4 linked regions of the Drosophila melanogaster genome follow. The protein of the gene in region 2 purifies or fractionates together with the protein of the main gene of each other region. This does not show direct contact. Each region holds a gene or a part of one and is shown on either strand. Other genes may lie near its edges. The genes, in order: CG34205, CG11596, CG10237 and Uxs.

The links.
Region 1: the proteins of CG11596 (region 2) and CG34205 purify together in Drosophila melanogaster (affinity purification with mass spectrometry, with the first as the bait; one large-scale study listed by BioGRID). This does not show direct contact.
Region 3: the proteins of CG11596 (region 2) and CG10237 purify together in Drosophila melanogaster (affinity purification with mass spectrometry, with the first as the bait; one large-scale study listed by BioGRID). This does not show direct contact.
Region 4: the proteins of CG11596 (region 2) and Uxs purify together in Drosophila melanogaster (affinity purification with mass spectrometry, with the first as the bait; one large-scale study listed by BioGRID). This does not show direct contact.

Annotation. Positions count from the first base shown.
Region 1 is NT_033778.4:22,129,439-22,133,487, reverse strand, and holds CG34205 (uncharacterized protein), read left to right. Parts: upstream 1-2,188; 5' UTR 2,189-2,277; coding exon 2,278-2,355; intron 2,356-2,520; coding exon 2,521-2,844; intron 2,845-2,907; coding exon 2,908-3,159; 3' UTR 3,160-3,374; downstream 3,375-4,049. Other genes in the region: NtR, read right to left, coding at 3,375-3,497, 3,558-3,724, 3,797-3,937, 4,003-4,049.
Region 2 is NC_004354.4:1,925,807-1,931,609, reverse strand, and holds CG11596 (uncharacterized protein), read right to left. Parts: upstream 3,928-5,803; 5' UTR 3,825-3,927; coding exon 3,691-3,824; intron 3,439-3,690; exon of another isoform or gene 3,345-3,438; intron 3,277-3,344; coding exon 3,030-3,276; intron 2,610-3,029; coding exon 2,440-2,609; intron 2,367-2,439; coding exon 2,226-2,366; intron 2,157-2,225; coding exon 1,899-2,156; intron 1,838-1,898; coding exon 1,417-1,837; 3' UTR 1,100-1,416; downstream 1-1,099. Other genes in the region: Ocrl (oculocerebrorenal syndrome of lowe), read right to left, coding at 4,444-4,631, 4,692-4,916, 4,978-5,164, 5,231-5,803. UniProt on the Drosophila melanogaster protein: S-adenosyl-L-methionine-binding protein that acts as a sensor to signal methionine availability to the mTORC1 signaling pathway.
Region 3 is NT_033779.5:19,435,221-19,443,352, forward strand, and holds CG10237 (uncharacterized protein), read right to left. Parts: upstream 5,688-8,132; 5' UTR 5,502-5,687; coding exon 5,444-5,501; intron 3,747-5,443; exon of another isoform or gene 3,074-3,746; intron 2,914-3,073; exon of another isoform or gene 2,793-2,913; coding exon of another isoform or gene 2,789-2,792; intron 2,626-2,788; coding exon 2,446-2,625; intron 1,907-2,445; coding exon 1,812-1,906; intron 1,744-1,811; coding exon 1,590-1,743; intron 1,414-1,589; coding exon 926-1,413; 3' UTR 630-925; downstream 1-629. Other genes in the region: Rab9, read left to right, coding at 1-86; Hs2st (heparan sulfate 2-O-sulfotransferase), read right to left, coding at 8,084-8,132.
Region 4 is NT_037436.4:8,178,296-8,183,996, forward strand, and holds Uxs (UDP-xylose synthase), read left to right. Parts: upstream 1-2,627; 5' UTR 2,628-2,745; coding exon 2,746-3,388; intron 3,389-3,455; coding exon 3,456-3,637; intron 3,638-3,924; coding exon 3,925-4,425; 3' UTR 4,426-5,074; downstream 5,075-5,701. Other genes in the region: Nmt (N-myristoyl transferase), read right to left, coding at 1-32; mthl7 (methuselah-like 7), read right to left, coding at 381-579, 643-817, 882-1,133, 1,195-1,371, 1,547-2,219; ERR (estrogen-related receptor), read right to left, coding at 5,224-5,701.

The sequences.
Region 1 (4,049 bases), on a different chromosome or scaffold from region 2:
ATTTGAAAACAAATTCATCAAAGTTGGTGCGGTGCATTTCAAAAACTTCCAGTCACGTCAGCAGCGAGGCTCTAAGTTTGTCAGCTCCCAAAAGCTGAACTCCAAATCCATTTCCATGTCCACCACGATTCATTCATTAATTCAGGCAAAGCGTCATAAATGCCACGCGGTTTTTATTTGGTTTTTCAGGCTGGTTGATTTCGTCGTTTGTTTTTGATTTAATTAAGCGGCGCTTTTCCATTTTGCAATGTTTTTCTTGGCCGTTCCGCGAAGCATTTGCAAGTCAAATGCAGCGGCGTTAATTAATTGAATGGATCGAAAAATAACGCATACGCAGCGTGCGCCGCGAAGAATTCTGCGCTTGCGATCCATTGGGCAATCGCTTTGAATTCTCTCATCCATTCTGTGGCCAGTGGCTAATTAGGCCCGTCATCCAAAATTCGCGGCATTTTGCACCCATTTTGGAGCACACGCCGCCCGATCGCCAAATCCAAATGCGGCTAAAGACTCGCCTCTCGATCGAAGCCATAAAAACCAAGACGAGGATCGATCGGCTGATCGCCTTAAATCGTCATTTAGTATGTGGCAATTTGGCATTCGAGTTTGCCACCCTTCTGATCCACCGACCGATTGCTGGAAAATTGCTTTCCACCTGGCCAAAATGTGGGGCAGTGGCTGGGAAATCTTTTATTTATGAGGACCGGCGACACACCGACCACAACACACAACACCGATCTGTCCGCATCTGTCCGGATCGAATTGGACATGGAACACTTGTTTGGCAGTCGCCGACCACTGGCAACAATTGCTCCTATTGACTTAATATTTGCTAATAGAATTCACATAAATCACATTCCACTGGCATGCATGATTTATGCATGAACTGCGATCGCAGGTGACTCTCTGTCTCTTTTGCGGCGTTTCGTGCTGTCCTTTTCTCATTGTGCTAAGTTTTTTTTCGAGTTTTTTTTACGAGATTTCGGCGTTGAAGTGGTGTTTTCGAGACCTCTTGAGAGGAACTCCACTGAAGTGCTGCAAGTTGCATGCGCTAATCTGAGACATTATGTGCTTTCCAAACTTTAGTTTCTTAACCCTAATATATAAAGCAAGTATTTAAACACGGACTACCTTATTGTCTCAAAAAGTTATGTAAAGTCCACAAAAATATAAATCATTTAAGAAATGAATATATACACCATATCTATACTTAAAGCGAATAAGTGATATAATGATTACTTGAGACACTATTAATCCGTGATAAGGATCACGACGAGCATTCTCAACAATTTGTAGCATTATTAATTTTGTGATGACCCAATGTCACACCTCCGTACCCCCGCACATCCCGTGGGGTTAATCAAGTCGGCCATAAAAAATCCCACGAACTGCCAGATGCTGAACCGGCAATTTCAGCCGGCAAAGTCGATGGATCGATGGCGAGTTGAAGCTGGAGCTGGAGCTGGCGAACTGGGGCCTCCACTCGATCCAAACCCCCTCGCCACGCACGAGTGTCCTCGAGACGAGACGGCGTGGCTGCGGCTGAAATCACCCATCCAATATGGTCAAATGTGGCACGCAGCGGCATTCGAGGCACGATAAAGATAAATATGAAGCTCGCCTAGATATTTCGGCCAGAGGGGATTGCTGCTTGGTGTTTGGTTTTGGCGTTTGCCGATTTGGCAAGCGTTCATTATGCAATTTGGAGAGAATTTCCCAGCGCCACGCCGAGAATTGTTTCGAGAATACTCAAACATAGCAACGAAAACAATTAGACGGCATTCTACGTTGGCTAATTAAGTTGTTAGTGGCAAGGCTGCGTGCTTTCGAGGGGCGTGTCACCTGGCGCGTTGCCCAAATTGGCCAGCTAATCAGCGATTTCAATTAGCGTGCGCTTTCCAAATGCGAGCCACAATGGCACCCCCAGTGTAAAGACCGCCTTTCCTGCGGCGACTCCTTAGCCGGCAAGTGGTCTGCCTTCGGTTCGGAGCTCCCAACTCCCAGCTCCAGTTCAGGTTGCGTCATCCGCGTTTGGGGGCTCTCCAATCCGAGCTGCGTCTACGAGAATTGCAGTTTCACTGCAGCCGAGATACTTCACAAATTGGTGCTGCTTGGCCCGCTTTGTTGACTGCTGTCTGCTGACTGTTTGTCCGTCCGAGGCTCAGATCGAAATCTAGTCAAGATCTGTCCGCTCGACCACCTGTCCTCCGGTCCGCAGTTCGCAGTCCGCTCGAGAGTGCGAGTGCGTGGTCTGCCGTCGAGGGGTATAAAAGTAACGCAATGCACACGTCCACTTACAGTTGCAATTCTCCCTCCAAGCCAAGTGATTCGTTATCCAGCGCTAGCATGAAACTTCTGGTGAGTGGAAAGGGTTGGAAAGGATGCGGCCTAGGATCAGTATTATCACTTTAAGCCAATAATACTGACTGCAAAGGATATCTTCATACAAGGATTACCTCGATCTTATATTCACTAGATCAAAAAGATTAACATCAAAGTTTGGTTTTCCATTTACCTCGCCAGATCCTTACCTCTCTGCTGGCTGTGGCCACTGCTGCTCCTGGACTCCTTGATTATGGACACTCGGCTCCGGACTACAGCTACGCCCATGCCGCTCCTGCCATAACATATGCAGCTGCAGCTCCAGTCATCAAGTCCTACGCTGCCCCAGCCATCACCTATGCGGCTCCAGCTCCGGTGATCAAGTCCTATGCCGCTCCAGCCATCAGCTACGCCCATGCCGCTCCTGCCATCAGCTACGCCGCTCCCACGGTGGTCAAGTCCTATGCTGCTCCTGTGGCGGTCAAGGTGGCAGCTCCAGCCACCAGCTACTCGCACTTCAGCTCGGTAAGATCTGGATATACTCTGATATTTTCCCATTTAATCTTACAATCTACTTTGCATGCACAGGTTGTTTCCCATGCCACGCCCATTGTTAAGTCGTACGCTGCGCCTGCCATCGCCTATGCTGCTCCAGCTCCGGTGATCAAGTCCTATGCCGCTCCAGCCATCAGTTACGCCCATGCCGCTCCAGCCATCAGCTACGCTGCTCCCACGGTGGTCAAGTCATATGCGGCTCCAGCCATCAGCTACGCAGCTCCTGCCCTGGTTAAGTCATACGCTGCACCTGCCCTGTCCCTGGGTGGATACGGTTACCACTAAGCTCCGATACCAAAACACTCCAAATCCAAATCGATCCCGGATCGGAGTTGGAACAATGGCAGCAATTAACTGCGAGGAGTCGCAACAGCCCAGCACGCTCTCCCACTTTTTCAACTTGTAGTCGCAAAATCTTCACAATCTTCTCTGTTTACTTCTTATTTATTTAAGAACCATTAATATTCTCTCAAATGCACAATAAAGAAAAATTCTGTTTTTCAAAACCCACTCGTAATATCTACGATGGCAAAGGTTATAATGACCAAGATTGAACTCAGGTTGTTCAGGATCTTGGCCATATGGTGCCAGGGATTCTCCTGAATGTCGCAATAGTCGGTAGACTGTAGGAATATAGTGAATTGCAATACGTATATGTGTTCAATAGGGGCTTAACTACTCACATCCGAAAATCTCAATCCCAGAATGCATCGCAGAACATTGGAGTTAATCACCCTAACCAGCCAGCCAGGAGCCTTCGATCTGGGTGGATATAGATCCAGCCATATAATGCAGATGTGCAGAATGTAGCAATAGGTGGTGGTCATCATGATGACTTTATATGCAGTCACTGTAGGAAAAGTGAAAATTTGAATTTGAAAATTATACACAGTGAGTTTTAGTTAATTGATTTAAAACTTACTCATGGGCGGCACATAATGCGGAGAGGCGTAGCGCGTCATGTACATTAAACCCCAGGCGGCAATCAGCAAGGCGATGAGAATGAGGGAACTCCTACGAGTAGAACGCAGTACAAAGGACAAAATCAGGAACATCTGGCAGGCTGAAAGAATATATTGTAGTTATATGTTATTCCATAACAAGAAATCAAACACATTTTCATATTACCAATCAACGGCAAATAGAAGACGGTCATGTAGAAGCTCCGATTCCTT
Region 2 (5,803 bases):
GGCTACTGAAGTAACCAACGAGTGGTTAAGCAAGTCGACGATGGAATGCTCCTCCTGACCAACTTCAACGGAACTCTAAGAACGGCTGCAGAGAACTACGACCTGATCGGCTCCTTTATCATCCAATTCGACAATGAGACGATAATGGTCAACGGTCAAAACTATTCCAGTTACTCGGTCAGTCATCTAATGGCGATGCCGGCCGTGTTGAGCCACATAACGGCCAGCAACTTTCAACTTTCTCTGGAATACGTCCACGACGTGAGCATGAAGAATTTGGAAAAGATGTCCAACATGGCGAGTGAGCTACTAGCCTCTCTTCTCACCGAGGCGGCACTCGCAATCTGCATATTCCTAGGCTTTTATTTCCTATGGAAGAAGCTGATGTCCACCAAAGGCATGCCCGATGTCCGCGAGATTGCCGCAAACTTAGAAGCATTGGGCCAAACCGAGCTGAACAAGGCTCACTAATCTGCGGGACGCAGATCTTGAGGGGGGAGGAGTTAAGAACCCTCTTCTTGCGCTCTTCGTCAGGACTCACCAGCGCTCGGCTCTCGTGTTTTCGGGCCCCGTCAGCAGGCGACTCGGGGCCTGTCTAGTAACATGTTCGTGTAAGTTACGAACCCTCTTCTTGCGATCTTCGTCAGGACTCACCAGCGCTCGGCTCTCGTGTTTTCGGGCCCCGTCAGCAGGCGACTCGGGGCCTGTCTAGGAACATGTTTGTGTATGTGTGCATTCGGAACAAGTGCCGTTGGTCGCACTCAGGGTGAGGGGTCAACGGGGGAAGCGGATATAAAAGCAGCGGGGCGGGAGAAGAGGCCCAGTCTCGAACGGACACATAACGGAACCGCTAGCAGATCGCGAACTGAATCTTAAAATAAAGCTAATCGTAAACTCGAACCCTCTTAACTATCTTGACTATTATTTGGAGAACCACAGCATGTTGGTTGTCATATCAAGGTGAGGTATGCGGCAGCGAGTGCCGAGAACCCTGATGCAAGTGGAACTTGCGTTAACTTTAATAAGGCTATCGAATTGGTAGGTATCGGTTTAAAGCCACTAGTAATTGAACAAATAAAAACTTTTTATCTTAATTTTTAAAAATTTTCTTTTGATATATTTGGTTGACCTAGTTGGGACGCTTTTCCCATTTAAGTTAGCATGATGAGCATAATGAGCGAGAAATTGTCCTAAAATTTGCATCCTTTGAAAAATTAAAACTGGCATATATAACAGTGTGTAGGAGTAAATAATAGGTATAAAGTGTAATCTATAACATCGAAGCACTGCAGTGTCGATTCCCTGTCTTGCCTGTGACGTGGTAATTAAGATGTTCGTGATGCCATCTGTAGGTGGGTTTGCACTTGGACTTGATTGTGGTGTTTGGATGTGTTGTTGAGTTTGGTTCAATGGCTATCACGATGGCTGCTCCTTTATCTCAGTCTCGCAGTTGGCTGTGGCCAGCGGTTTCAGTTGCTGTTTTTCTTCCGTTTCATTTCGTTCCGGCTGTTGCTCCCCCTCCTCCTCGCTGTCCTCGCGCACAATAAGATCGTGTGGCTCCCTGGAGGCCTTGCGTTTGCCCCGCTGCTCCTCAAATAGATCCGGCTTGCGGCAGACCCAGAAAAGACTCTGGTACTCGCTCTGTTTCATTGAAGACGGGTTCTGTGCGTACTTGGTACGGATGCCGGTGCGTGATTTCTCGATAACGAATCCTACGCTTTCCATGATAATGCAAAGGTCCTCGAAAGCCGGCTCGATGCTGTTTTGCCCGCTGACGTCGCTAAAATGGTACAGCAGCGGCCCGAGATTCACCCAAATGCCACCAGGCACGAGGATTCTGCAACGATAATGTTAAAATCAACATCGCCGGTATACCCGTTCAAATGTGTGCAACTCACTTGTAAATTGTGCGTATGAAGTCAATAACATTATTGGCACAATCGATGAAGAAGCACGTAGCCACGCAGTTGTAGGCGTTCGGCGTCTTGTAGACCTCCAGAAAGTCGCCAGCTGCTATTTCAAAATGGCCCTTGGGTGGATTTTTAAGCGGGCAGACGTCTGGGAAACGAACGGGGGCCACCTGATCCTCACGCCTTAAGTTATTCACATACTGGTGCACCCACGGATATAACACGTACTTGTTCTCGTTGTCGCAGCTGCCGAAAGAGACAACAGAGCACGTTCAATACCCAGCATTAGAAAGCAACGTACTGAGCTGGACTCACAGGTTGAGGACAAAATTGGAGGCGATCAGCATGAAGTAGGAAAACTCGTTGCCCTCGCACGAGTACCCCAAGCAGGCAAGCTCGTAGGTGAGCCGTCCCAACCCCGCTCCCGGCACTAGGATCTTTATATCCTTCAGCTCGCTGTTTAAGATAAAGCAGATGAATAATTAATTAGTAAGACCACTAAAGTACGCTTAGTGTAGTAGTCACTCACAAATCGCTGTGCTTGAAGTACGCAACGATGCTGTCGATGATCGGTTTATACGATTGCTCCCGTTCTAAGGCTCCTTCAGTGCTCCAGTCGCGCGCAATCAACTTCAACGTCGACTGGGCCTTTAAAATTTTTAGAGGTTCAACGTCAGCTTCATCGAATGGAATATCAATCTGCGAGTTGAATTAGAGCGGGTGCGAGATGCATGGTTTGGGTGTCGTGCACAGATATGGAAAAGAAACAATACCGAATAGTTCCAATCAATAATTAAAAGAGAAACTGAAGATATTGGAGGATAACCAAGCACATTAAACTATACGTAAGGTGAGTAGTCTATTGACATGTAGAAACAATTTTTAAGCACAAGAATGACCAGTTTAAAGATACATATTACTCTTCCCTTGTTTTACCAAAAGTAATTCTAATATTTGAAAATATAAAGAGGGACAAATTCAACTGACCATTTACAAAGCGGTAGGAAAAATAGAAGATAAAGTAAAAAGAGGAACATAAATTCTATTAGATTGGGATTTGTGGGATGATGAAGGAGCGCCGTCTAGCTTCCGCATTGAACCGCAGATGTAGTCAATTACCTGGTCCATGTCACCGTGCCGCACATTTGGCGGCGGCTCGTCAAACTCCGAGGGATCACCAGTCGCCTCATCCGTCGGATAGAGGACACGCCCGCGCAATATTTCCCGGATAACCGCCTGGTTGCGATCGATGCACGTGCGCACGCACTCCAGATGCCCTCGGTACTTGGCTAGCATGATTTGGTCCTCGCCAGACAGGCTGTTCAGGTAATCCATGGAGCGCTTTAGCCGCTGACACGCATATGGCCTGCATGGGAGAAATTAATTGATTTCCATTATCAGCAAGCACGCTTATCACCAGTGATGACACACTACAGTGTTTACAAACGCTGTATGGGCAATCTGATATCTTTGGTATGCAGATATTTTTCACCCAAATGTCAGTAATGGTGGTAATGAACACTCAGTTGTAGTTTGGCTCTATTGGATACTTTAGAAGATGCGTCTTCTAAGGAACGGTGAGCCATTTGAAAACACTAGCCAGATTTGGCGTGATTACTCCTGCACCGCCAGCACTGGCGCCAAACGAAACGGTAGTTTGTCGGCAGCTTGTCTGCACATGTCGCTGTCACCGCACCGCCCCCCCTCAACGACGATCGGTTGGCAAGCGTCCGTTTGGAGCATGTGCTCCAGAACACAGCGCAAAAACAATAACAATTACCCATAGTAAAGGAAGGCGTTCTGCACCTTCTGAATGTGCTTCTCCTCCTCCTCCTCGTTGATGACGAAGGTTCGGGCCAGTTGCTCGTCCATTTTAGGATGCATTGGGAACGTGGCGCAGTCCATGGAGCTCATCTGGGCGCGTCGTCAGCGGTTTCAACGATAATCTATGCTATTTAAATCCTGGGAGTAATCCGTTGCCTTTGCATTCTGCTGTCGTCTCTGCCGTCAACTGAAGTCGCCACTTTAGATCTGGTTACACTGTCGATAACTTTGGGAATTTAATCGATACCATCCGTACTCACAAATCCGTAGCGCGTCTTTTAATTTTGAAAATTTTGGCGGGCGTGGCCAAATATGTGAACAGCCAATGTAGAGATTTTTCAGAATATTGATACTGTATGTAACGGTGTTATTTATTTTCAGTTGCAACTGAAACGGGGATGTAAGAGGGTCACTTCATTAATTTAAACTAACAAACAATCGTGCTAAACGAATTACTTATTTACACAATTCATTTATCTTTGCGTTGCTGGTTGCGTGTCTCCATGGATTTGTGATGCAGGCGGGGACAACCGAGTTGGAATGAACGGAGGGCGGGCACAAACAATTAACAGTTAAAACAGAGAAGATATAAATGCTAAGTGCCAACAAAGTACCAACAAATAAAATAAATAGCTTAACACTATGCGTAACTATCAACAGAGTAGTACATCTATCGCTCGCTTCCGATTCGGCGGCACAGCTGCGGCGACTATGCCTGCAGACCCGCCCGGGTCCCAGATCCCGAGCCTGTTCCAGTTCCGGCGCCCTCATTGCCGTTGCCCATTGCCTCGACGTCGGTGTCGATGAAGAGCCGCATGAACTGTATGCATCGGCTGTGGTAGTCCATCCAGGCGGCACGCTCGGTGCTTCGCAACAGAATGCGGCCAAAGGTGGATGCTGTGTGGGAGGAATGGCGTTACGATGGTGGTACAATGCTGCTGGAGCTTCTCTACCTACCGACTTGATGCAGATCATAGAACTGACTCTCGATGCCCGCGCGCAGGAACATACAAAGGTGCATGAAAACATTGCGCTTGGGGGGACTTAACAGCGAAATGTAGTCCATAGCCTGCGACTTGTTGGTGCACTCCAGCAGATTCTCGACCACCGGCTCCAGCAGAGCATGCTCCGGCAGATCCAGCAAAAGCAGCAGCGCCTGCGCAGCCGTCTCTGCGTTGGCAGCTGTAGATTGTAAGGGAATATTCACAACTATTATGGTGGCAATCTAATAGAGTCCACTTACGGAACGGATCATCCGACCAGGTGTCCAACCAATCGCGCACCGAGTTAAATTGAGCGCCGAGGGAGAGACGCGAGTCGTAGGACGGGAAGGCGCCCACCTGCTTGGAGCCCTGCCTGTACAGATAGTCGATCAGCAGAAAGAATTCCCGGGGCATCGTCACACGGTATTCCGGTGATTCGTCATTCATCTGCAACGAAACGTGGTTCGTGATCAGTAGAAAAACTTCGTAATTACAAAAATGAAGGGAACTCACGAGTTGCTTAATCTGATCTTGGGAATACTCGCTTAATGGACGGTCGGTGCGGCACATCGTCTCCATGGAAAGGCCAAAGCAACTGGGCTGATAGTCGCCCGTAACCGTGATGAAGATGTCACGCCCGTTCTCCACGTGCAGGATGAGAATATCGAAGTTGTCGCTAGCACGGATCTTGCGAAGCAAGCCGGCAATGGTGCGCACATTGGCGTTCATTTTCAGCCGAATGCTTCGGGCGGAGTCGATCAGCAGCGAGTCTTGGCGCGGATCGACGTGCAGCCATGGCTCGCAGATGGCGTGTATATCCTTCTCTTTGAAACTGAAGTCCACAGGTAGTGGGCAGTTGTTATAGACGTTGAAGTCCCGTGTGCTCGGCTCGTTAAATCGCACAGTCCCGAAATCGATGACCGTCTTCTCGACATTGATCTGTGGCTGGTTGTCGTTCTCCCGCTTGTCCACTGCCTTCAGCACCTCCTCCTGCACCCGTTTGTACTTGACCTCATCGCGAGTCTTGACCTTGACCTGGAACACGGCGTACACGGGCTTGTGATCGCTCTGCCGAATCTCCATGAT
Region 3 (8,132 bases), on a different chromosome or scaffold from region 2:
ATGCCGCCATGCACAGTCCGGGCAAGAAAGTGTTCGGCCAGAAGCGCAACGCCAGCAAGGCGCCAGCCACCAATTATCGGCTATGAGCAGACAGACAGGAGCTGTCAGGAAACTTACGCTTAATTTAACCACTCACCCCGCCGGGTTGACCTTCAGATTCAATGCATTCCAGTCCGCGGAGGGGCAGGAGCTTCAGACCGAAAGGCAACCCATCCACCCAATGTTGATGGCTGTAGAGAGTGGATTGCCTCGTTGTGGTTGATATTCTAAGGGAACTATGCTTCACAGCGAGCTAACTATGAGCTAGCTTCTATGTCAAGAATAGGATCTCCATTTTTACTTGCTATGCTTTAATATTATCTTACTAAGTTATTATTTTGTTATGTTACCGTATCGAATATATGCGGTATGAAATACTCTTATAACAATCGTATATAAGCTTTACCATAACCAAGTGTCTTGCTTGAGGAAAGCAAGCTTTAGGTGTCTAATGTACTACGCATAAGGCAATCAGAATGTAATCACTACATTTTTTCCTTATATATTGCATAATTTCGGAGTGCCTTAAGTGTGTTTATCTGATGTGAAAGCTGGGAACAAACGAATAAATATGAATACCGCACGTGTTTGTTTACAAAGTATGTTTATATTTTAACAATTGGTTTAATGTACAATAGTAAAATGATATAAATACGCTTACCCCGGATTAAAATAATATGCATGTAGGTATAACACTTCTTCTGGCTGCGATCGACACTCCGATCCTGGTTAAGACTAAGGCAAACTCTAGGCGCTACTCACTAACAGGACAAGCGTATGGTAGATCGAGTGCTTAACTATAACGCTCCACGTGGGCTTAATGTGAAGACGTGTGGAAACGAGTGGAGTTGATTATCACGAGCAGCACCAGGCCGGTGGCCACAGATCACTTCTTCTTGTAGCCGTACGAGTTGATGGTGTCGAACTCGGTGTCGCACTTGAGCAGCAGCTGGTACCACTGGTCGCTGTCGATGCGGCTGGCCTCCCGGAATCCTCCGTAGGCGGCTGGCAGGCACTTGGGCGACATGTATTTGTGCAGGGACTCGCGATCGGTGCCATGGAAGATGATCCTGCTGCGCAGCTTCTCCTTGAGGAAGGGCTTGAACAGGGCAAAGACCACCTGGAAAATCTTCGGCTGGTTCACGATGTGAATGGCCTTGATCCGGAGCGGCACCGAGTCCTGAAGCCAGTCCACAATGCGCTTGGCGAACGGAGGCGTAAACTGCCACGTTTGCTGGAGACTGAGGCCATCCATGTCGAAGATCACAACGGCTCCGCAGATCTGTGTTTCTGGCTCCAGCATGGCCGCCTCCAGGAAGAGCACAGCTCCCTTGAACACCTCATCGAGGGTGACCTGCTTGTGCTTCCAGCGCTCTGTAATCGGGGATTACGAAAGATTAATACAGGATCTGCTCAATGCTTGGAGCAACTATGAAACTTCAAATGATAGGAAAACCTGCATCTTAACTAAAATAAACTTTACTCTGAAGATCGAGATCTTTGCACTCAAAAGCTAATATATTGAAGTATCCTTCTTTCAGTGTACTTACTGCCCAGTTCGAGGACCAAAATGCGACGACCCAGTTGATCTCGGTTGGGGAAGACGGTAAGGATGTTGTGCTTGAAGATGTTGGCCTCGTTCGATGGCTTCAGGTCGGTGTACACATCCGCGTGCTTCACCTTGAAGGCGTAGTACCGCTTAATCTGTTCCATATTCAGAATATATACAATTAGTAACACAGCTGGAAACTGGGTTGCCACACTAGACTCACCAGATCACGGGCACTTTCCGGGTAATACTTGCAGGGCCGCAGGTATCTGATCAGCCACTCCTCGTTTCCCTTGGGGTACAGCAAGTCCGTCTCCGCTGGAAGCATATCGCAAATATTAATCGACCTCACCTTCAATAGTCTTAATTCTAAAAAGTCACTAAACCACTGGCATTAAGTTTATCCAGCAATTAAAAGGCAATCGTAATTTGTAACAATAGTTACGAATCTTATGCAACGAAATCCTCTCGAGGGCGCGCTGCTTTTAGCCCCAACTTGTTATTAGTGACACGAAGTCGCCAACTAATGATATAGAACTATTCGTTCGAACTTGGTGTACAAATGGATTTTCAATTCCCAACAATCGGGTAAATTATTAGATGCAGGCTAAGTACGAAGTTTATGGCTTAAGTTTTATTAACTCAAGTTTTTATCAGCTTTTGGAGATCCCTCGGATATAAATTATGAAAATAGCTTAGCAAAATGCATATTGTATGATCTCAGTTCAGATATATGTATATACTTTAAACAGATGTAATGCAGTTTCAATGACTTTCATCATGTGAGTTTTAACTCATGTAGTTAATGTATAATTATATTGATTCAAAGTAAAACTCCATTTCTGATCACGACTCACCTTCTAGAAGACGGGCCAGCTCCTTGGAGGCCTCCTTCTGGCGCTCGGGTGTTTCGCGCAGCTCCTTGATGGCCACCTCCTTGCCCTGGGCAGTCGGCTCGCCCAACTCGAACTGGAGCGTGTAGTCGCCCACCTGGAGCGTGGGCAGTTGGTCGATGTCCGACAGCATGGTGGGTACTCCTGGAAGGGAAGCAGTTGGGGTTCGGTTAGCGACAGCTTCTGTACTTTGAGCTGGGGCTGCGGGTTTCACACTGAGAGCACTGGGAACTTTGGCCAACTAAATAACTTGAGCTAACTGACATCGATTGCCAATTAGTTGTCATACTTCACAATTACTACTTACTCATTTTGCAATTGTTGCTGCTCTGGCTGAACTGAAATTATTCTGCGATTATATTAAGCTATGTGCTTTTTCTAAGCGGTTCGCCGCTGTATATTTTCAGTTTGCCAAATGTAAAATTGTGCCCTCTATTTATAAGAAGAAAAAAGCGTAGAGATTTCAATTTATTAGCGAGACACAAGTGACTCGGAACCGGCTCAACTGCATCGAGTTTCTAGACTTTCCCGCCAGTCAATGCGATGATCGTCTAAACATATCCATATATGTATTCATTTATTTATTAATCACCTGGCCGACCTTCACCTTGACATTCGCAAATTGCTTAAAACGGAAGAAGAGGCCAGAGATTCGCGAAGATAATGCAATTCTTCAGAGATCAGAAAATAACGTTAGGAGCCTTGAACTAAATTCTGGAGACACTTGACGCGTTCTACTTGAGCGTAATTTCCAGTTAGGCAGGTTTCGAATTGCGAGATGAGGAGCCAGGGTCTGTGAGCTTATATAGTGGGGCAGTTGGATATCAGAAATTAGCACACTAGATTTCCCATCAAATCGGAAATTAGCGCTGAAGATTTCCCATCAAATCGAAAATTAGCGTTAGTGCTGGCTCGAAACAAAAGACTAGGAGATTAGCATCCGAAGCGCTGACATTGAAAATTGCTACCAATTTCGGCTAGATGGGCCAGGTGATTTGCTTAGGGTATCGTCTGTTTTTGCATTCATGAATGATACACAAGAGTCTACTGAATCGCTGATGTTGTGTCTGGGAAAATACGAGATCTTAAATAGTACACACGGATCACAACACAACACAAGACAACACAACACGACCGAAACTAGTTTGGCCCAAACTTAAAGGCTATAATGGTATAATGGCTAACAGTATTCCGCAAAGACGGCCCAAAAAACCAGCTGCGAGTGACGCGTGCAACGGAGCTGAAAGCCCAGATGAAACTGTTGCGGCCAAAAGCGCGAGTCGAGATTTTATGCCAGGCCAAGAATTAAAACTGGAATTGTGAGCGGAGCGGCATGAGAGTGGGTGTCGCCGATCGAGACGCCAGTGCTGCCAAGTGGGTTTGTTTCCCGACAGTAACTACTTCTGCTATAAGGGGGTCTTTTAACTATAGTTGTTTAATGCTTTAATGCACCAAAATGAAGTAGTTTCAACATAATAAGCTTCTACTGAAACATATATTTTCTTGCTTGCTTGCACTAGTGATGGGGAATAACTATATAATGCTATTATATGAAACAAGTTGTGCACCCATTAAGTGATCATCACCAGCTGAATCTGAACTTGAGCATGACATTCACGTGCCTCGCAAGAGCGTGGAGTTGCTAGATGGAGAGACACATGGAGTTTGCCCAGGGAGAGCGAGCAAGCTTTACTGGGTCTGGGGTGCATCGTCATTGGGAAATGATGCCACCGCCACCTCAAGCCGGTTTCAGTTTCGCTTTCAACTTGGACTTGCCTAATTTATTCGGGTTTTCTTCGGGTAATCGCCCACAGTACTATTGGGCTCTTGAAAATCCCTTGGCATAGGCATTTCCCATCGCGACCCTGAAGCCCCGTGCCCGTGCATAGCCATCCGGTTTCAATGCTGCCCAGCTACACGCCAATTAGTGCTTACACCTGTTCGGCGTACCTACACCTGGGGTCACCCCACTAGCAATTTGTTGGAGACCACAAACATTGGACACTTGAAAGCATCTTCAACTATTTATAGATCATAGTTATAGATCATAAGATCGCATCTAATGACACCGCATCACCATGTCATATCATATGTCCCTATTTTCTCAGCCCCATGTGTTAAGCCAGGCATATTTGGTATAATTAACACGTCCCAAAGCCGAGCACCCTCTGCGTTGTGGACAGCAAATGGTTCCCGCCCGGTTTTGGACAAATCGGTTCAATCGCACGATCGCACGTGCGAAGACTTCGGCCATTCATGGATACGGATTTACGTTGCGATGATACTCTCGATTTCATTACGGCCAGTTTCGGTCATTTGGTCAATTTTTATTGGCCATCTCGAAGCGGATGCTGACGAAAACTGGGTGGTACAAAGCTGCGAGTATATGGAAAAAACTTGAAGCGAGTAATATGAGTAATTCTGGGGTTACGACCCATTGCAATGTCAACCTTCGCCCTTCGGTTTTTTCTTTGCAAAAAGCGTGTTAAAAACCCTGCATGAGAAACCTGCTTTTGAAGAACGTGACAATGGCGGTTCAAAAGCAAAAGTGCTTTGACCTTACTCAAGAGATGGAAAAAGTACAAGTCGGTAGATATTACTGACATCGAACAAATGGATTGTTACATGAATACTCGCTTGATGTCCAAACAATTTAGATGGCATATCAAAAGGCATTGCAAAAAGTGTTGTTTTTTTTAAATTATTTATATTTTGAATACCTTTTAAATACTCTTTCTCGAACTAATCGTGACTTTCAATTACCAGCACAACTGTATATAAGTTTTTAACAAACTGGTGTATAGTTTTTCGAGCAACTGTAGCCACGCGCCTTATATAAATACATACGTACGTATATAGAAAATAATTCTATTTGAGGGAGATAATTCTAAGAAAATGCATATAGTACTTGCAATAAATATACGATAAAAAATGGGGTTCGGCAGATTTCGCTATTGCTCACCAAGTGGGAATTCAGAGGGCAGGCACCTCATCGCAGATGCAGTGGTCAGCATGGTCATGGCGATGCAGATCGAATGAATACACACACAAGTTACTTTACAACTAACTAAACCGGTATGCACATGCAAATGCTAGCGTATGTAAATAAATTAATATTTCTTTATTCAGGCTGATCGAGTCGGGAGCATCGGCGGTGGCTAAATGGGTCAATGTCGTCGGCGAGTTACTGAACTTTGTCTGAAATTCTCGAGCGACGAGTGCGAAAGGGGGGAATGCATGCAACAGTAATGAGCAAAAGGCAATGCAAAAAACACGGACAGACAGTGATGCCTCGTAAATAAGGGCTGAGCGTAGCTACATAGTGATAGTGATGGTGATCTGGCTAAGATATTTTTATGGTCCCTAGCGCTACACACTCAGAAATGCACTCTTAAAAAGAAAAGCACTCTATATGTATATATATATACAAATGTATATATGAGATCCAATTACTCACCTTGTTTGAATTGAAAATCGGCTAATCCACAAATAGTTGGCTGGTACAGTGGAAATCCTTCGGAACTCCCGTTCGACTCCGATATATGTACCTAGTGAGCTTGGGTCGCGTTTGAAGACTGAAAATACAAAGCTGCTTGTCAAATCGTTTTATAGCCGCCCCTTTTATGCACTGCGTGCATTGCACATATGTATTGTACGACAAAGTTATAGTTATCAAGATATATACATAGGTCGGTCGGAATAGTCGGGCACTCGTAAGGCCAGCGCGACTTAATAGGTCATTATAAGCGACCGATTCGAGTTAAGAGCTCTAAAGATCACGTCGCGAATCGCCGCATGGGATCTTCTTTTTTTTTTTTGGCTTGTTTTGCATAAGTTCACCTGAAAATGGTTCACTGAGCTCAGCATTAATTTTATGTTATTTCCATTGTTTTTAGTACGTTAAAGTGCCAAGACAAGTGCGGTATTTCTCACGGTGCAGCGCACTCAATCGATTTTCCACAGCAATTAACATTATTAAATATAATGTTGCAGAAGGTACACTGAAAGTAAGTGAGTACTACAAAATTCAAGAACTTTCTTCACTTTGTGTGCACTTTTAGAAATGTTCTTGACTTAAAACAATATAGTTATTATTATTATTATTGAAAAAATCCGTACTTTCTATCAGGAAATCCACTTTGCTATATTTTGTAACTATATACACTTTGTAACTTGTACTGTTTAGCACTTTCGAGAAATTCTCATCTGCCACTTGCGAAAAGTCCACTTCCTATATTTGTTCTAGAATGTAAACGAAGGAATATTTTCATTTCTCGTCGCAAAATACGAAATTTTTAAGTTAGCTATATAGCATCGGGGCACTTTCGCAATCGCGGCACAGCTTTATATATGTATATATATTTATATTAAGTGCGTGTTCTGAGCGTTTCGCACAGTGTATCGTGGTTAATCTTCTGATGGTTACGCGACTTGGATGCAATTAGACTTGAACTTTTGAACGCTCCGTACACGAGTAGTTTAAAGACTAATCGCCTTCGCCACTGTGACTGAGTGAAAAACGAGTTTGTAATCCCTCTTACGGATCGTAAGTGTGTAAGTTATTGCTTTGGCTATCACTCCTCCCGTTCGACACAACAGTAACTTTCTGCTTTTCTGCCGGACACTAGCTAATGTACCTTCTTTCGACTGGCGTGTCCGCGTTCCACGATCAAGTGATCAACTGACTGACGGGGGCTGTGGGTAATTCGAGCTCATTTGCTTTTAGTTTCAAGCACGAGCAATTAATTAAGTATTTCACTGCTCGCCGTTTCCAAATGTATTTCCATGCCATTTCTTGCGCTTGCCTGAGCCCATTCTGCGTGTCGGACCGCCATTCCGCCATTTAGCCATTCGGTCATTCCGTCCTCCAGTCAGACGATCACCTTCGAGCACGGAGCTACGTCAGCCTTTAAAGTCCGGCGGAATTTCGTTGGGCAGCCAAGTGCAATTAGCTAAGTCGAAGTACAGAACGCTGAAAGTTAAAAGTAACCCACTGATGGCATTAATCAATTTACGAACACGCAATCCCAGCGACAGCTGTTGATACGCACAGCGCGCTTCACATGGACATACAGACAGACAGACGGACAGACACTCCATTATCTATTAGGTATTTACATGCATTTAATTTGAATGTCAAATTCAGATTTATGGCCTAGCCTATGAGAGTTACAAACAATGAGAGTCGATTACATATGAATTTACACCTATTTCTAGTTCTACGTATGCATATCGATTCAATTCATCCATTCATTCCGTTGTATTGTCGAGTATAAAACGTACATTTGACTAATCATATAGAGATATTGTGCAGACAATTGTTGCTAGATATTGCTTACGATGAACTACAAAAGCGTTCTCGCCTGTTTTATACGTTTAAAGCTTAGACTACGTACAAAAGGTTTGGGTTAGTAATATGTCAACGATATTCAATGCTAAAGTCTTAGGTAGCGCTTAAGTGTACGGATGAGTTACTCTTAAGTACAGATCAAATCTATGCGAAGGAGAATTACGTATTTACAATACAATTGTCGGAGACTCCTGGTTAGATCACTGGAGTCGGCCGAATCCTCGCTCTGCGACTCCGTCGCCTCCTCTGCAATCATTTGGGCCGAATCTTCTCGTACATGAATTTCTGCACGTGCTTGTTG
Region 4 (5,701 bases), on a different chromosome or scaffold from region 2:
CCCGAGAGGTCCTCTGCGTTTTCGTTCGGCATATTTTGCACTGTATTTCTTTTTGAACAGTAAAGCAAATTAAAATTGCAATGAAATCGCAAAACTACAAGCAGAGCAGCTGATTTTTTTGGCGATACCTATCGATGTTTTTTAAAGAATCGAAAGTGGCTGGAGAATCAGTGTTACCAGAGGGTGGCGAAGTGAAAAGCTTGTCGCGGTGACCTCTTGGCAGTTTAAAGTACATCGTTTTCTAAAACTATATTTATTTATTGAGTTCAATAAAATTCAATTCAATTCCTTCGTTCAGCAAAGGATATTAATAAAATGAGGGGCTTTAATTGTTTAAAGCTTTAATTGTAAACAATTATTAGAATTATATAGAAACAAGCTTAAGAATCCATCATTAGAGTCCATGTGCTGCGCTTCAGGACGAGCAGAACGAACAAAACAATTCCAAACGCGCTGTGAAAATACTCGGATATTATCCCGACCCATTCCCAGAAAATGTGGAGCCGTGCAGAATACGGAATGACATTGAATATCCAAGTAAGGCCCATCACGATGGAGAGCCGCAGGAACTGTAGGTAACTATGTGGATAATACGGCAAGGATAACTAGTTTACCAAGGTCCAAGGTTTTATCATATCTTACGTCTGGCTGTCAAAGTTTATGCAGTTAATCCTTCCCTCCTCCTCATTTGTGAACTTATTTATACCCCCCTTCACTTTCCTAATGTAAATGGCTGTCAGGGCGAACATGGCGACATTGAAAGTGCTCAGGGCCAGCGACGGTCCACTTATATAGATCCAGACGGATGGGTGCCAATCTGATATGGAAAAGCAATACGTAACCATGGTAACGATTTAAAAGCAATCGCATTGAAAGTTTACCTTTGACCGAGCACCGAATAAAACCGACCAGAGGCAACCAGTTCCATTTACTGGGATCGTTTTCCCAAATCTGATTAACTATATAAATACTTCCCGTCATGATTGCGGCTGTGCTCCAGACGAAGGCGTTGTACCGCAGGAACCGATAGTTAGGGTCGACTCGATTGAGCGACGTCAAGACTTTCCACGTATGGTAGCTGATGACGGAGAGCCAGAGGTTGGAAGCCATCCGGAAAAAGTGCGAGCTGTAACCTGCAAGAAGTCAACGATATAACATTTAAAGCTTCCAGAGATATCTCCAATTCGAACTAACCAGCTGGAGAGCAAATGCCATTCAATAGATTTAAATGATCTAGTATCATGATCAAGCACTGGATAAACCTCGAAACTATACAGCATACAATGCACTTGCCAGTAACATTTCGCAGCTTCTTAATGTATAGATATACTGCGATTGTTAGGACAAAGCATATCATTGTTATAATTAGAACTGAAAAAGAAAATATAAGAAATAAAAAACCAGCTTATTGTAATTAAAAAACTTGCAAAGGGCACACAGAATGCAGTCAGCAGTTTGCACACCAATAAGGAGTTATTTTCGTTTCTTTCTATATAGCTATGAAAACGATATTGATGACTTTTGTTATAAATAATAATTGAATTACTCTCTAAGGATCCAGGAGATATGTGGCTTGTGCAGCGGTGTCGTATTATCCACATGGACTTTGGAAAATCCGAATCAAAGTTGTGCCGGTACAAGCAGTAGTCCTGTTTTTCCATGAAGAGGTCAACGGTAACCCAAAATTTTCCATCCTGGAACCAAACTATAAGTCCACATTTATTGAAGATTTGAATGCTAACCTCTTCTAAGAAATAGTTAAAGTCGCTGATGTAAATCATTTCATCACAATCAAAGAACTCATCTCTGATAATAGCCATATCGGTGAGTGGTACTCGTGCCTGTAGGTCCATGTATGTGAAGTATATATAGGGTTTGAACCGGGCGAGCTCCTCTTTGAGACCATCATCGCATTTTCCGTTGGCCAAAAAGTTCTTGGCTGGGCAGCAGATTCGAATACAGGGCCGCACGCTGCAAACACAGGCCCTTAAATGCTTTTCAATCGGCGTAATCGAACCGTCCCCAAACTGCCTGAACTCGTAGTATCCAGTTAAGCTAGCAGGAATTTCGATGTCATCATATAAATACGAATCGTTTTGCCTTTCAATGTATGAGATATCAACCGTGTCGTAGTAGTTGCACCCGGGAATATCTGCATTTGAGTTGTTCGTAAAAATTAAAAGCAGAACTGTACAGAAAATCACCCAAGGAAGCCTCATGCTGAGCACTACAACACTTGGCACTAAGAACTTTGCCCGACTGGCGATCGATGCTCATCGTTGGCAGTTTAAATAGCCTTCAATAGCCGTTTGGGCAAACACTTTATTCGGAAAGTAGTCCCTGCTGACCAGCCTAAGAAAGCCCTCAAACAAATTTAGTTTTCAAACTCATTTTTTGGCAATTTCCGACCTTTTATCGTTAAAACGAAAAATATTCGTCCCTGGGGAAGATCACCAACAAAAATGTCTAATTCATTATCAATTCATTATAATTTATAATCCAAAATCAAAATGTTCGCCTGTCGATACTTTTGATGTAAATTTTAAAATTAGGCGGGAGCTTTTCCCTGGCGTTAGATTATTAATCCATTTAGAAATTCCGTTTGAGCCATCTGGCCACTCTGGCACCTCCTGATAACGCAATTGTATTGTTTATATAGTTTCTAAAGCCGAACGAGAATGCAATGTGGCGATATCAGTTGCTGATAAGCACTGGAACCCTGCAGTACACAACCCATAACCGACGATGACTGCCACCAAAAAGCGTCTGAAGATCGTTGCAGCCATCTCGCTGCTCCTCCTGCTCCTGGTCTACCTTTACCGAATGGCCAGCTTCTGCCCAAGCGGAAAGGTCGCCGTTTCCGTTCCCGGCGTCGAGGAGGTTCAGGCCAAATGGCCGCCCACGGAAAGTCCGCTACAAAGGAGCCTTCAGATGGCGTACGAGGAGCAGAGCTCTCTTATTCGAGAACAAAAGGCCGAACTCCAGCGCACAAGGGAGAATTTGGCCAGATTGGAGGAACAAGTTCGTAGCCTCCAGACCAGCACACCGCGCAAGTATCCGAAGGTTAAATACCTGAACTATAAGAATCGCAAACGCATACTAATTACCGGAGGAGCTGGCTTCGTGGGCTCCCACTTGGTCGACGATCTGATGGTCCAGGGGCACGAGGTCATCGTGGTGGACAATTTCTTTACGGGACGCAAGCGAAATGTCGAGCACTGGCTGGGGCACGAGAACTTCGAGCTCATCCACCACGACATAGTGAATCCGCTTTTCATCGAGATCGATGAGATCTACCACTTGGCATCGCCAGCCTCGCCACCGCATTACATGTACAATCCGGTGAAGACCATCAAGACCAACACCATGGGCACGATCAATGTACTGGGTAAATATTTATAATATCAATCAAAGAAAATAAGGATTACACCTAACGAGTATATCTTTTTTGAAAGGTCTGGCCAAGCGCGTGATGGCCAAGGTTTTGATAGCTAGCACTTCGGAAGTGTACGGCGATCCCACAGTGCATCCGCAGCCAGAAACATACTGGGGACATGTAAACCCTATTGGACCGAGAGCCTGTTATGACGAGGGAAAGCGTGTCTCCGAGACGCTGAGCTATGCGTATGCCAAACAGGTAATACCTTTAGCAATATATATACTTTTTTGGATAACCACATTCCTAAGCCAGATCGAAAAAAAAACATTAAACTAGCTGAGATCCAGAAATGTGGCAGATTTTTCCTGTTTCGATCGCTAGTTGAGCATTAAATGATCTCAATTGGAATGCTATTAATTGATGTTCCGCTCGGTTGGCTGACGCGAGATAAGATTTCCAAGCGCGAGCACTGACCACATTTTTTGATCTTGGCCAGCAATCTGGGAGTCAAATTAATTGCTCTTTAAATGTATCTGTATCGACAGGAGAAAGTGCAAGTCCGAGTGGCGCGCATCTTTAACACTTATGGACCGAGAATGCATATGAACGATGGACGAGTGGTGTCAAACTTTATACTTCAGGCGCTGAGGAATGAAACCATTACGGTGTATGGAAATGGCAAACAAACGCGCTCCTTTCAGTATGTTTCGGATCTGGTGGACGGAATGATAGCCCTAATGGCATCCAACTACACACAGCCGGTGAATTTAGGCAATCCTGTGGAGCAGACAATCGGCGAATTTGCCGAGATCATCAAGAAACTGGTCGGCGGGCCCAGTGTGATAAAGCAATCGAAGGCCATGGAAGATGATCCGCAGCGCAGAAAACCGGACATAACTCGAGCCCGCCAGTTGCTCCATTGGGAGCCAAAGGTTCCCCTAGAGACTGGACTTCAGCGGACCATCTCCTACTTCCGCAACGAATTGGCGCGTAGCGATCGCTTTCAGGAAAGCTCCAACAAGTACTTTGATACACATACACCGTAGAATTAATTGGGCTTAGCTCTAATTGGTGATGATGGAACGTCTCTAGTCTGCAAATGTAAATATGACCATCGTTAGCACTAATTGTAAGCCCTCAAGGACCACAGAATACCTTTGTCATGGTTAATTTTTTGAAGTTTTGCGATATATCAGCCTATGTATGGATTAGGAAATAGTGATGTATAAATGCGATCAAATGCACTGAATTCTAGAAAACTAATTTGAATTTGTTTAGGAAAAGAAAATCCCCAAAGAATACAGAACTTAGGGAGTATGGAAACAACAGTTACAAACGGTTTATTATTCACGGACGACATTGCTATTCTTTTGACCGCATGTGTACCACATAGACACAGAATCACTGGGTTACATGACACTTAGAAACAGTATAATCCATTGTATTGTAGAACCACTATCGTATTTTAAAAGTGCCCACAAATTCATACGTTACATCAGAAGGTTGCGGCATATACATATATCAGAACCAGTGAGAATTGAACAAATTATTGAAGATCTGTGACTCACAACTTTAGACACATAACACCTATATGCGCCTTTAACCAGTGTAAGCACACCCCGATTCTAGAAGATAAGTAGGGTTTTCCAGTTGCTGTAGTTGGTAGTCCATTAAAAGAGATTTTTTCTGCGAACTAATCTTACCCGACAAGTATTTTACTATTTATATACATGGCTTATCCTACGCTTAATCTACTCTAGTATACATCCATATATACCTAAGACTATATTTGCACCTTTGCTTATCAGCTAGATCAACTAGTTTGGGCGCCCGCATAATCCTTTTCACCTGGCCAGCGGCTCGAGCATCTCGAGGAACAGTTTCTTCATGGTAATGACTTCATCGCGTGCAATTCCACGCCAAAATCTTCGCAGGATATCATCCGCCTGCCGCAGCGAAGGCAGCAAAAGCAGCAATTGTTGCTGATGCGACACGGCCGACGAATGACGCAGCAAGTAGACCACATCGTTTAGAGAATTAAGAATCGTATCACGAAATGCGCGCAGGGAACTCTGATCATCCAGCAGAATGTCGCAGTTGGCCAGCAGGAGCGCCTTTAGCAAGTAGTACTCCTCCCTTCGTGGCGATATTCTTTCCATGCGCTGTGCGATCTGGACGCAGTGGTAGTAGAACTCCGTGTAACCGCACTCCTTGGCCAAATGTTCATCCATCCAGACATCCGTGGCGAAGCATAACTTGCCATTGAACGGTAGGGACCGGAAGGTCAGCTGGAGCGTCAGGATCTCTGCCCACGACACCTGG